2 linked regions of the Drosophila melanogaster genome follow. The protein of the gene in region 2 binds, or shares a complex with, the protein of the main gene of each other region. Each region holds a gene or a part of one and is shown on either strand. Other genes may lie near its edges.

Region 1 (4,716 bases), on a different chromosome or scaffold from region 2:
CTTGAGAATTGTTTGGAATTGGTTTTTTACACATAATCGAATTGTTCTTACTAACCAAATAAGATTACCAAATAAGAAGCCACCATGTAATAAGAGATTTGTTAACTAGCTATTGAATCACACTTTGAACATATATATATATTGTCTGCCTAGTCAAGGTGGAGTCATCCCCTAGTATGCAGTGTGGATTTTGGCGATAAGATATTGTTTTATCTTGCCTAAGAACACATTCTCAGTCGTATATATATATATATATATAAACATTATGGAATTGTAAATTGTATAAGAGTATAAACCCGTTGAGTTCATCTAGGAACTAGACAGATCACTCGAGACTATAACGATACACCAGGGTCTTTGAAAATCAAACTCAAATTTCATTTATTGAAAGGGGAGCAGCGCTCAAGGAGACTAACTAAGCCATAAAGACAGTTTTATACCAATGTAAAGATGATGCGACGATATATTTTGATATGCTCACGCTAAGTTTTAATGTCAGTAAATTGAAATGCGAAATAAATGCAATGAAATTATTTTTAGGTACAAGACGCGTGGCTGTTTTTCTAGTTATTTCCTAAGATAGCTCAAACTAGAAATTAGTGAGAATTGTAGTAGGAATCGAATAACATGCGCATTAAGTTCATTTCTGCGTTTTATTGATTATAATTATTATTTTGCAAGCTACTAAACGCAATTTTTAAGTTAATTATTGAAAAATTTGTACTATCTTGATTCCCTTGCTACAATGAGAAGAAAAATGATTTTATTTTTAGCCAATGCTGTATTTAACTACCCCAATTGGCCATTTGATATCCTTTTCCGAAATTATAAAACTTTGAAACCATATGCTGATAATGGTTTATTAATTACAATCGTTATAAAACCATGACCAAATTCGTAGGCATTTAATTTAATCATAGATACAAGGAAACTTATTTATTGATCATAAAATAGTCATGAGAATGTACTGGGGGGTTGCTGCGATGTCAGTTTAGACTCTAGTGCTCCATGGGCTGGGCATCTCCTCCGCCGCCCTCCACGCGACGCTTTGCCCCGCCTCCAGCGGCCGGGTCCCTTTCCACCTCCTCGGTGATCTCGCTGAACATGTAGTCATCCTGGTACTCCTTGAGGATCTTGCTCGAGCGATTCTCGTCCAGGAAGAGCGAGTAGACCTTCTTCACATCCTCGGTATTGACTTCGGTGGCCTTGCGGCGACGACAGACCAAGTTGGCTGTGGTAATCAGTTGGATGGCGTAGCGTAAACTGGTATCTGTGGCGATGCGTGTAAGAATGGTCAGGGCATCCGGGTGCATGATGCAGTCCTCCTCCTCGCAGCGAATCTTTAGGATCTCCTTAACCTCCTTCTCGGAATACGGTACAGTGCGTATGATGATCATGCGATCGAGTAGATCAATGGGTATGCCGTGCGGACTGCGATAGTTAGTGCCCCTAATACGAGTGATGCCGCGGTTGGTGGCCATCACCACCACCGGAGCCATGTCCGACTCCAGGGCGCGATTCAGGAAGGAGAAGCACTCAATGTCCAGCATGTGCACCTCGTCTATGAAGAGTACTCCCGGATTTATCTCAGCTTTGCCCTCCTCGCGCCACTCGAGAACCTTGTTGTTGATCTGATCGCGAACCTCCTGCTTGATCTCTCCAGTATCGCCGGAGAACAGGGCCAAGAACCCGTGGGTGCGACTATTGATAACATCGATCTCGTGTAGGGTCACAGTGTGCACCACCTCCTTGCGTTTTTGAAGCTCACCCTCGGGGCATTGGACGAATCTGGTCTGAGCGCCAGTGGCGTCGTAGTCCCTGGCTCTGGTGAAGCTGCGACCCAGCTTGTTGACCTTTCCGGACGCCTTGTCGATGGTGATCACATCGCCAGCCTGGATCTTCTCTTTCATGAAGCACTCGATGATCTTGTTGCCCAGATCGTAGTTGGTTTCCATCTCGGTGGTCTTGAGGGTGACCTTGCCCACCTTCTGTCCGGTACCCGAGGCGGGGCGTTCGATCTGGATCTCCACCACTTCGCCCTCGATGATCTCGGTTTCCTCCTTGATGCGAACGCCAATGCTCTTGCGCAGTGCCTGTGACAGAGCCTCGGTCTTGCTCATCTCCAGCGAGTATATCTCCGATCCGGACATGCTAGTGAATGGGGTCTCGGTGCCCAGAGCCTGCGCCATTCCCACAGCAATGGCCGTTTTGCCGGTACTAGGCTCCCCGGCCAATAGGATACATCTTCCGGCGATCTTGCCCTCGCGAACCATCTGCACCACAACGCCGGCGGCACGGCGCGCGTCCTTCTGGCCCACCATTCCCTGGGATACCAGACGAGCCTCCAGCACATCGTCCAGTCCCAATCCGCGGATATGCGAATGGGCGCCAATGCGCTCGATGCGAGTCACGTCGCGAACCTCGATTTTCTCGGTCTCGGCCATTTTGTGCTTTTGATTCTGTCTACTGTATCACTGGTCGGGAGTTGTACTCTTGTGCGATCTTTTCAGTGGCTTACTAGTTGTTTACTGGGCTTAAATAAGTTGCTAAGCATAAAATTCGTATATGAAATTACCGGCCTGCTTGGAGTAGTGTTGAAAGTTCGATGATTACACAGCACTGTTATGCGCAGCACATGCTGTCAGTGATGGCAGCGTGGGAGAACATTCGCTAGCGGCAGCTAGGTTTTACAAGTACACAAGCCGCTAAATATAATACGATTAAATTAAATGTAAAGGAAACCATTTTCCGAAATATCTGCAAGTGTGCGGTAACTTATTGTTATTTATTGAGTTGCTTCAAGCTTTAGTCGTACTAGCTATTACAAGCTATTTCTGAAAATGTAACAGGGATGTTAACGTGCGCATGCTAACACAGCTGTTCGAAAACGCGTTAGTGTTATTCACATTTTGCCTATCTGCCGACATTAAACCGATCCGATTTATTTATGTACTTTTGAGTTAAAAACAAAGCCAAACGATGTCCTTTCTAGCGCAAACTATGCGTCAAATGCTACGCCACGTGCCCAATCGCAGTTTGTTGACGGCAGGTAAGTGAATATTAAATAGCATCGATGTAAACAATGTGACATAACCAGGTCCCAATGAAATCCCATTCTTTTGTAGGTGCCATGCGTCCACTGAGCATATCGCCGGTAATTGGGCAGCAAAACAAGCCGGCGACGGAATCGGTGGATTTATCGGCCATAGCTAAGGATCAGCAGAAGGAGTGCCTGAGCATCTGCGAGCGCATCAACCGGCAGGTGCAAAAATCCGAGCAGGGACGACTCTTCGCGGTTGTCCACCTGTGCGGCAAGCAATTTAAAGTAACTCCAGGAGATATCATCCTGGTGGAGGGATACTGGCCGCCAACGATAGGCGACGAGATCAGCCTGGATAAGGTGCTCCTGGCCGGTGCCCGCGACTTCACGCTCGTGGGAAGGCCCATTTTGGAGCCCGGACTCATCTTGGTGAAGGCCACCGTCGTGGAGAAGACGCTCAGCCACACGAAGACGCACTTTAGGAAGAAGCGCAGGAAGCAGTACATGCGCATCAACTTCCAGAGATCTCCGCACACCATGGTCCGGATCAATTCAATTGAACTGGCTCGTCCAGTGGACGGGAATGGCGAGGGGGAGTCTTCCTCGAGGCGCTTGTTTTAGTTTAAAATGCTGTTGATCACGAAAAATAAACCAAGTTTTTGGAAGGTAATTAAGAAAACACAAACCACTTTGAACTGGAAGAGGATAACTTTATTCAGATGCTGATTTTGTATATTTTCTAAAACGGTTGAAACTTTTCTAGTGATATTTGTATATTTGCCCTTAATTCATTAATAATAAATGTCATAAAAATTCAATATTCTTAGGACTTTGTTACAATACAGATAATTAAGATAAAACCCATTTTGTAATTGATGAAATGTTATAAAGTTCTTGTTTTATCTAAGTCACCAAAATCAATTGTAAGCATCAGTTTGGTTTTAACTGCAGTCACTGATATCAGTGTTAACAGTACATATAGTTCTATAGTTCAGTATATTTTAAGCTCATATTAACTTTTAAAATATGGCTAGCTACAGTTTCTAAGTTTTGGCAGAATGTTCAGCAAGTTATCTAGCAATTTTAAAAACCAAGCAAATGTTTTACCAATTTTCATTCCTATTTTTGCCTCGTGGAATTTTGCAGATATTGCCCTTCTGCTGTTGCTTTTTGTCTTTCCATTAGAAATTCCACTTTCATCTTGATTCAATGACTCTGCCCGACAGTATTTACCCAAAACGGCAACCTAGTTTGGAATACGAGCTACCCAGCTCCCGACTCTTGCACCGCGACAAAGAAGAGGCGCCTGCTCTAATGAAGCAACCAGTAGAACCACTGCAATTTTAATGACAACCTTTTATCGCTCATGATGTTGTTGCCATCTTTCATTAAAAAAGACGTCGCTGCACCATCCAACCAAACTACCAAACTACCTAGCCAGGTCGGAACCACCCAACCAGGCAGCCCGACCACGATTTATAACCTATGGACATGGCTCACATGGGATGCCTGCTGTTTTCTTTATCAGCAGATGTAAGTTGCTCCCGAGTCGGCGGCTGTCGTATTTGTTTACGCTGCTCTTTCACTTTTCACTAACCAAAGGCGTTTACTTTTTAGCCTTTGCCTGGTAAAGCTGCTTTTGCTTTTCCCTGGCCCCATTTTCTAGTTTGGCCTTT
Region 2 (5,504 bases):
AGCGTAGAGCCAGTTGCGTGGGGCCCAGCACGCTTGCCACAGATTGAACCCCGGAGACAATAGTTTTTGGAACGCCCAAAAATATGGCATCTCAGACATTGCAGCACTTCTTGCCTGCGAACAGCTAGCTTGGGTGGTTATGGTGTTGGTAACATTGGTGTTACTACTAGTTGTCAACTTCGCAAGCTCGAGAGATAACAATTGAGGGGCTTACAAAGCGTCGGCTTGGTTGAGCTTATCTATGATAAGTAACGTAATTGTCTGTCACCACTGCTGTGCATTGGATAGAAATAGAAATTGTGCGCGTGCACAGTACGATTGGAAGAGTTGTTGATGTGTTACAACAAACAGACTAGACTATCGCGATCGTCCGTATGCAACGAAGGCTAGGCAGAGACTGGGCATCATTGAATGGGTCCAAAAAAAATTCTTAATGTTTGCCTTGTGGGTCCTATTCCTCATTCCAGTAGACTAATTCTAATTCAGTTACCCTCCCTAGCTAACCGTAGAACGATGCTTGGAACAGTCTTTATTAGTAAGTTTACGAGTAGTACGATACGAGTAGTCCCGACCTGGTTTTTCGGCGAAACTTCTCTGTTCCAAGTATATTCACTAGAAACTACATACCCTTAATCTTAAATCATTCTGTATGTTCATGTTATGTTCTGACTATAATAGACGTAATCCTATTATCTGTAATCTTTACTCTCTGCCGCTCTTACAGCAATCAATTATAACTTTTTTAACACATAATTAGATCTTACTAATATTACACTTATACTTTGTTGTTTTATTTATTTCCTCGTTTCTGGGCTCTTTAAAATTTTATTTATTGCATTGTCCTTTTAAATATGCAAATCAACTTAATCAAATTCACTTTTTAATTTTTATTTCGTTAAACAACATCAGACAACTCTATTCTAATAAACACCATAAAAAAGTAAATGTCCATTCTACAAAAGTAAAATAAAAGTCGCTCACGAAAGAGAGGGAGGGATCAGGGAAAATATTTCAATGAATTCAGCTGTATATTGATCCTCTAAAGAAATAATTCTTTCAAATTTGGAAACTAGTTTACCTAGAAACGGACAAAAAGTGTATATAATGTATATACTTTATAACGTAATTAATACTTTATAAATATTGAACAAGTACAGGCAGACAATTTCGGGTAAAGGCGATTATATCAGTGTAAGCAAGCATGCACAGCATGTTGATATTTAAATCTATGAACAAAGGAGAGAAAATGTTCGAGTTCTCCGACTATCAGATACCCATTACGCAACTAGTGGAGAAAAATAATCAAATAGCAGTCTTGAGCGGATTTGTCTCTGAAATCTGCATGCTTAATCTCAACTTTCTAGCTTATTTAGTTCCTGAGATCTCGACATTCATACTGCCAGACATATCCAGTTCGACTTGGGTAGTTCACTGGATCAAAAATATATATACTTTATAGGGTCGGGAACGCTTCCTTCGGTTGCCATTGTTTTTCGAAACCCCTTTTACTTTGCGAGTTTAAGAATACTTATATAGCGTGATAAATTTTCAACCAAATTAGCTACTATATTCTCTATACAAAATTATTTGCGCAGCTAATTAAAAATACTTTAAATTAAAATTCTATGTCTTCAAAAGCACATTAGGATATCCGCAAATCCGTACATATCCATATAATATTCTTTAAATCTTTAAGCCAAAAGCGAAAAGGTAACGGGTCTTGTGCGCAACACCATCATGGAACTGGGAGATCTACGGCACACTAAACTAACGCTCACAAGGGTATAAGGACTCTGCAGTTTAGCAATTAAAGAACGATGTGAGTCAGATGGGAATCAGAATAACAGCTTTGATTGTGGACAGTCATGCGGCATATTAACATTTCAAGCGAACACTAGCAAGAGCGTGCCTGTGAGCAACACCATTATTGAACTTGAACGTCTACAGCACACCCAAACTAACGCTTACATGGGTACCCGGCGTCTCCGCCATTACAGGTAACTCACGAGAGATGAGGATTAGCCTCACACCCGTCAACACTGTGTTTTGAGTGATAGTCTTCCGAGTCTTGCCTCCTTTGGAAAAACCTTAACCTAACATATTACTGAACAATCTGATGATACTTCATTTCTTCGATGCCAAGGCGCTTAAAAGCTGACATTAACGATCTGGGCTTGGCTTAAAAATGTTAGTATGGCGGCTTAAACAATATTAAAATTTTAGTTTTGACAGTTTTTGAAGGTTTGTGGGCGTTGGAGTAGAAGTGGTAATTTTCTCTAGAATGTGCATGCTTTATCTTAACTTTCACATCTTTTATTTAGTTCCCGAGATCTCAACGTTTATACGGGCAGATCGACTTGGCGCTAGTGATCATGAGTAAGAATACTGTGGTCGATTCCTTCTACATACTTTTCAACGAATCTAGTATACCCTTTTACTCTAGGACTAACGGGTATAACAAGTAAATATGTTTATATTTTATGCTTCATTAAACAGTATTTTGTTGTTACGCTTTATAAAAAAGTGCTTTGTTGCTATAATTCGATTTTCAAAACATAGACATGCCTGTAAAATCCGAACTTACCTTCATTCATTTTCTGATTGACTTTTGTGTTGCCTATATCTTCATCGTACTGTTCACTTTGAAGAATAATTCCAAAACGTTCGTATGCCATATTTACAATACTATAATCCACATACGCATGAGTTTAAAGTTAGTATTAAAGCATTTCAAATGCCAGGATAATTGTAGGCACATGTGTTAGGTAAGATTTGTATGTTTCCTGAGCGTTGCATTCCCTGAGGCTATTTGATGTATCTGAAAGAACAGCATTTTTACTGCCATTATTCCATATGTAGGCAATATAAGACATGAATATAATATCACGGATGATTGATACGTACACACACAGAATTAATAATTGTCATATTTAAGTAGGGAACATAATATACATTAAATATGACAAACGGTTCTCTAAGAAAATGTAGTGAATATGTTAAAAAAATTCTGATTGAAATAATACGAAAGATTAATTAAACGCCACATAAATTTAATGATAGTCGAATTGTTTCACTAAAAGCCGAGGAAAACAAAAGAATTCAAGTAATTTTTATAAAACGCGATACCAAATGACTCAAAATATTGAAAAGGTTATTCTGCTTGTTTGGCATGGGTATTCGATGCCTAAATATTTGGGTTTTTTGCAACATACTAAACTTTAGTATTTTTTTACAACGCAAAATATATCTTGATTCCACGTCGACTAGCTTCTAAATATAGAACAAGCTGGCTGTAATCTCTGTAATTATATCGGTATAGCTTGAAATATACATGCAAAACATAAAATTAAATAATACTACAAATTTGTAAACCGATATGAATTAAATTTTTCATATGCTTAAAGAAAATCCTATCAAAGAATGTGTATATTTTTCTATTAGTTTTAGTGATAAATAAAGTTCATATGATACGGTCCACAAATACATTTCGAAAATGTGGAAATGGAATCATCCTCATTTCGGAAAACGAGTGCAATCATGCTATAACCAATTTCCCATCGTTAACAAAGCTTAACATGAGACTGGAACAGATTTAAAAGAGGCAACTGTTAAACGAAAGGGGAAAGTTTCTACTGCGTGGGATCAGGCACCGATGGTTCAACATCTCTACTGATCTTGTGTTCTGCTGTAGATTTGAAAAAGCGCCAATTCTGCCAATCCTTGTGTTTTGTGCTGATGTAAGAGATGCCAAGCATGCACAGCGATAATTTATAGTCAATCATGCTCCTGTAATTTTTATTTTTTATTTCGATTTGGGCAAAATCTTTTGATTTCGTTTTTAGCTGTTTTGGTTTTCGCAAAATTTTTGCTATCGGAATGTTTTGTAAACATTAAACAGCTGTTCAAGCTGTTTTCCAGACCATAGAGCGGACACCTTTTTTTACAGTTTTAAGTCCGACGTTCGCAATTACTTTGTTATTGCACTTTGACATTTAAGTAATAAAAATACATTTAATTAAATACATACAACTCTTTTGGCCATTCCTGAAATTCATTAATGAATTCTTTTATATTTTATAAGTATTTTTACCTGCCTGTTTCGTTTTACCAACAGTATGGCAGCCTTCGCAATAAATATTGGGAACGTACTTCTCCTTTGCTAATCCCCTTGCTAAATCGAAAATATTTGTTGCTGACGGCAAAATGTTGTTTGTCAAATCTGAGGTGGGGTCGGAAATACATTTTTTGTATAATAACGCATTGGCAGAATGATCTTGTGGTGATTTGGAATTAACATCGATAGACCACTGAATAAAATATTTTTTCCTTAGTTAATAAGATCTGATTTGATAGATATATGTATGTATAACAGGCATTTACTTTTAATTTCGCCCAGACAAAAGTAAAATTCTTACGAATTCGATTACCAGAGAATGTCAATATTGACCGTCACCAAAAAAGTGACTGCATTGTGCTAAACCAACGTATGGTCGTTACCAATCATGTTATTCTAATGTCTTTGATTTGACTCTGTTAATAGAGATTGAGAAATATCGATGATGGCGGACATCGATGTTTTTGGCGAAATATGTTGAAAAAACATCGACGTTTTAAATAAAAACAAAAAAGAATTCATCTATTAAATTTATTATTTTCTTTTTTAATATTGCTTCAATAAAGAGGCTGCGTATTGTCGTCCACCTTTTCATCCGCCGGTGGTCCAGTAATTGCTTCTATACAACAAATACAATTACATATATAATTAATGCATTTTCATGGAAAAGTAAACTAATATGCATTACTATATGCATACATGCATACAGTAAAATAATTGTTATATATTTGAGTCTAACTAATTTCAGTTGACTAAGGTCAACGCTAAGAAATAAAAAATTATCATAGAGATGGTTTTCACGTCTTTATTCTTTTGATCTCAGCTTAAGACTATATGTTAGTGACAAAAATCTTTCTTATACTGCCTATGTTTACATTATTTCTGGAGCGGGATCGCCCGCTTAAGATATTTATTGTATACAGCTAGCGTACATGGCGTGGAATCGCCACTCTGTATTTCTTCTGAAAGTGCTGATTATGTGAATATGTCACATATTGCCCATTTGTTTATATTATTTCCGGTGCGAGATTGCCCGCTTGGGATATTGATCTTTTTTTTTTGTGGACAATTCTAATTATTTAATTACGTCACTATATACTATATATATATTCGGGAGTTAAAAACATACTATTTCTCCATGGCTTCCACAACGCCAGTCATGGTATTTGGTACTACAATCCGATCTAAATAGATTTCAAATAAAGTGGCGTGAAAATAAACTAAACATTAATGGCTCCAAGTGTAAATATATGACCTTTTGTCGAGTCAACCTAATACACGTGACTTATACTATTGGTGGGTGCTTTTTGGACAGAATAACACATGGTGTTCTGGACCTTAAGCTTAAATTTTCAAACCATATTTCATCTATTGTCAATAGGGGTATGCT

Evidence for each region. Proteins that work in one complex are often made in the same cells at the same time.
Region 1: pho (region 2) and rept share a complex: the UniProt entries of both Drosophila melanogaster proteins name them as parts of the chromatin remodeling Ino80 complex.

Annotation. Positions count from the first base shown.
Region 1 is NT_037436.4:19,253,243-19,257,958, reverse strand, and holds rept (reptin), read right to left. Parts: upstream 2,620-4,716; 5' UTR 2,445-2,619; coding exon 999-2,444; 3' UTR 848-998; downstream 1-847. Other genes in the region: mRpL21 (mitochondrial ribosomal protein L21), read left to right, coding at 2,980-3,049, 3,126-3,661. UniProt on the Drosophila melanogaster protein: Acts as a transcriptional coactivator in Wg signaling caused by altered arm signaling. Pont and rept interfere antagonistically with nuclear arm signaling function, and are required to enhance or reduce arm activity, respectively.
Region 2 is NC_004353.4:1,178,464-1,183,967, forward strand, and holds the start of pho (pleiohomeotic), read right to left. Parts: upstream 3,166-5,504; 5' UTR 3,127-3,165; exon of another isoform or gene 2,905-3,126; intron 2,819-2,904; 5' UTR 2,676-2,818; coding exon 2,585-2,675; intron 1-2,584. UniProt on the Drosophila melanogaster protein: Polycomb group (PcG) protein that binds to the 5'-CNGCCATNNNNG-3' sequence found in the regulatory regions of many genes.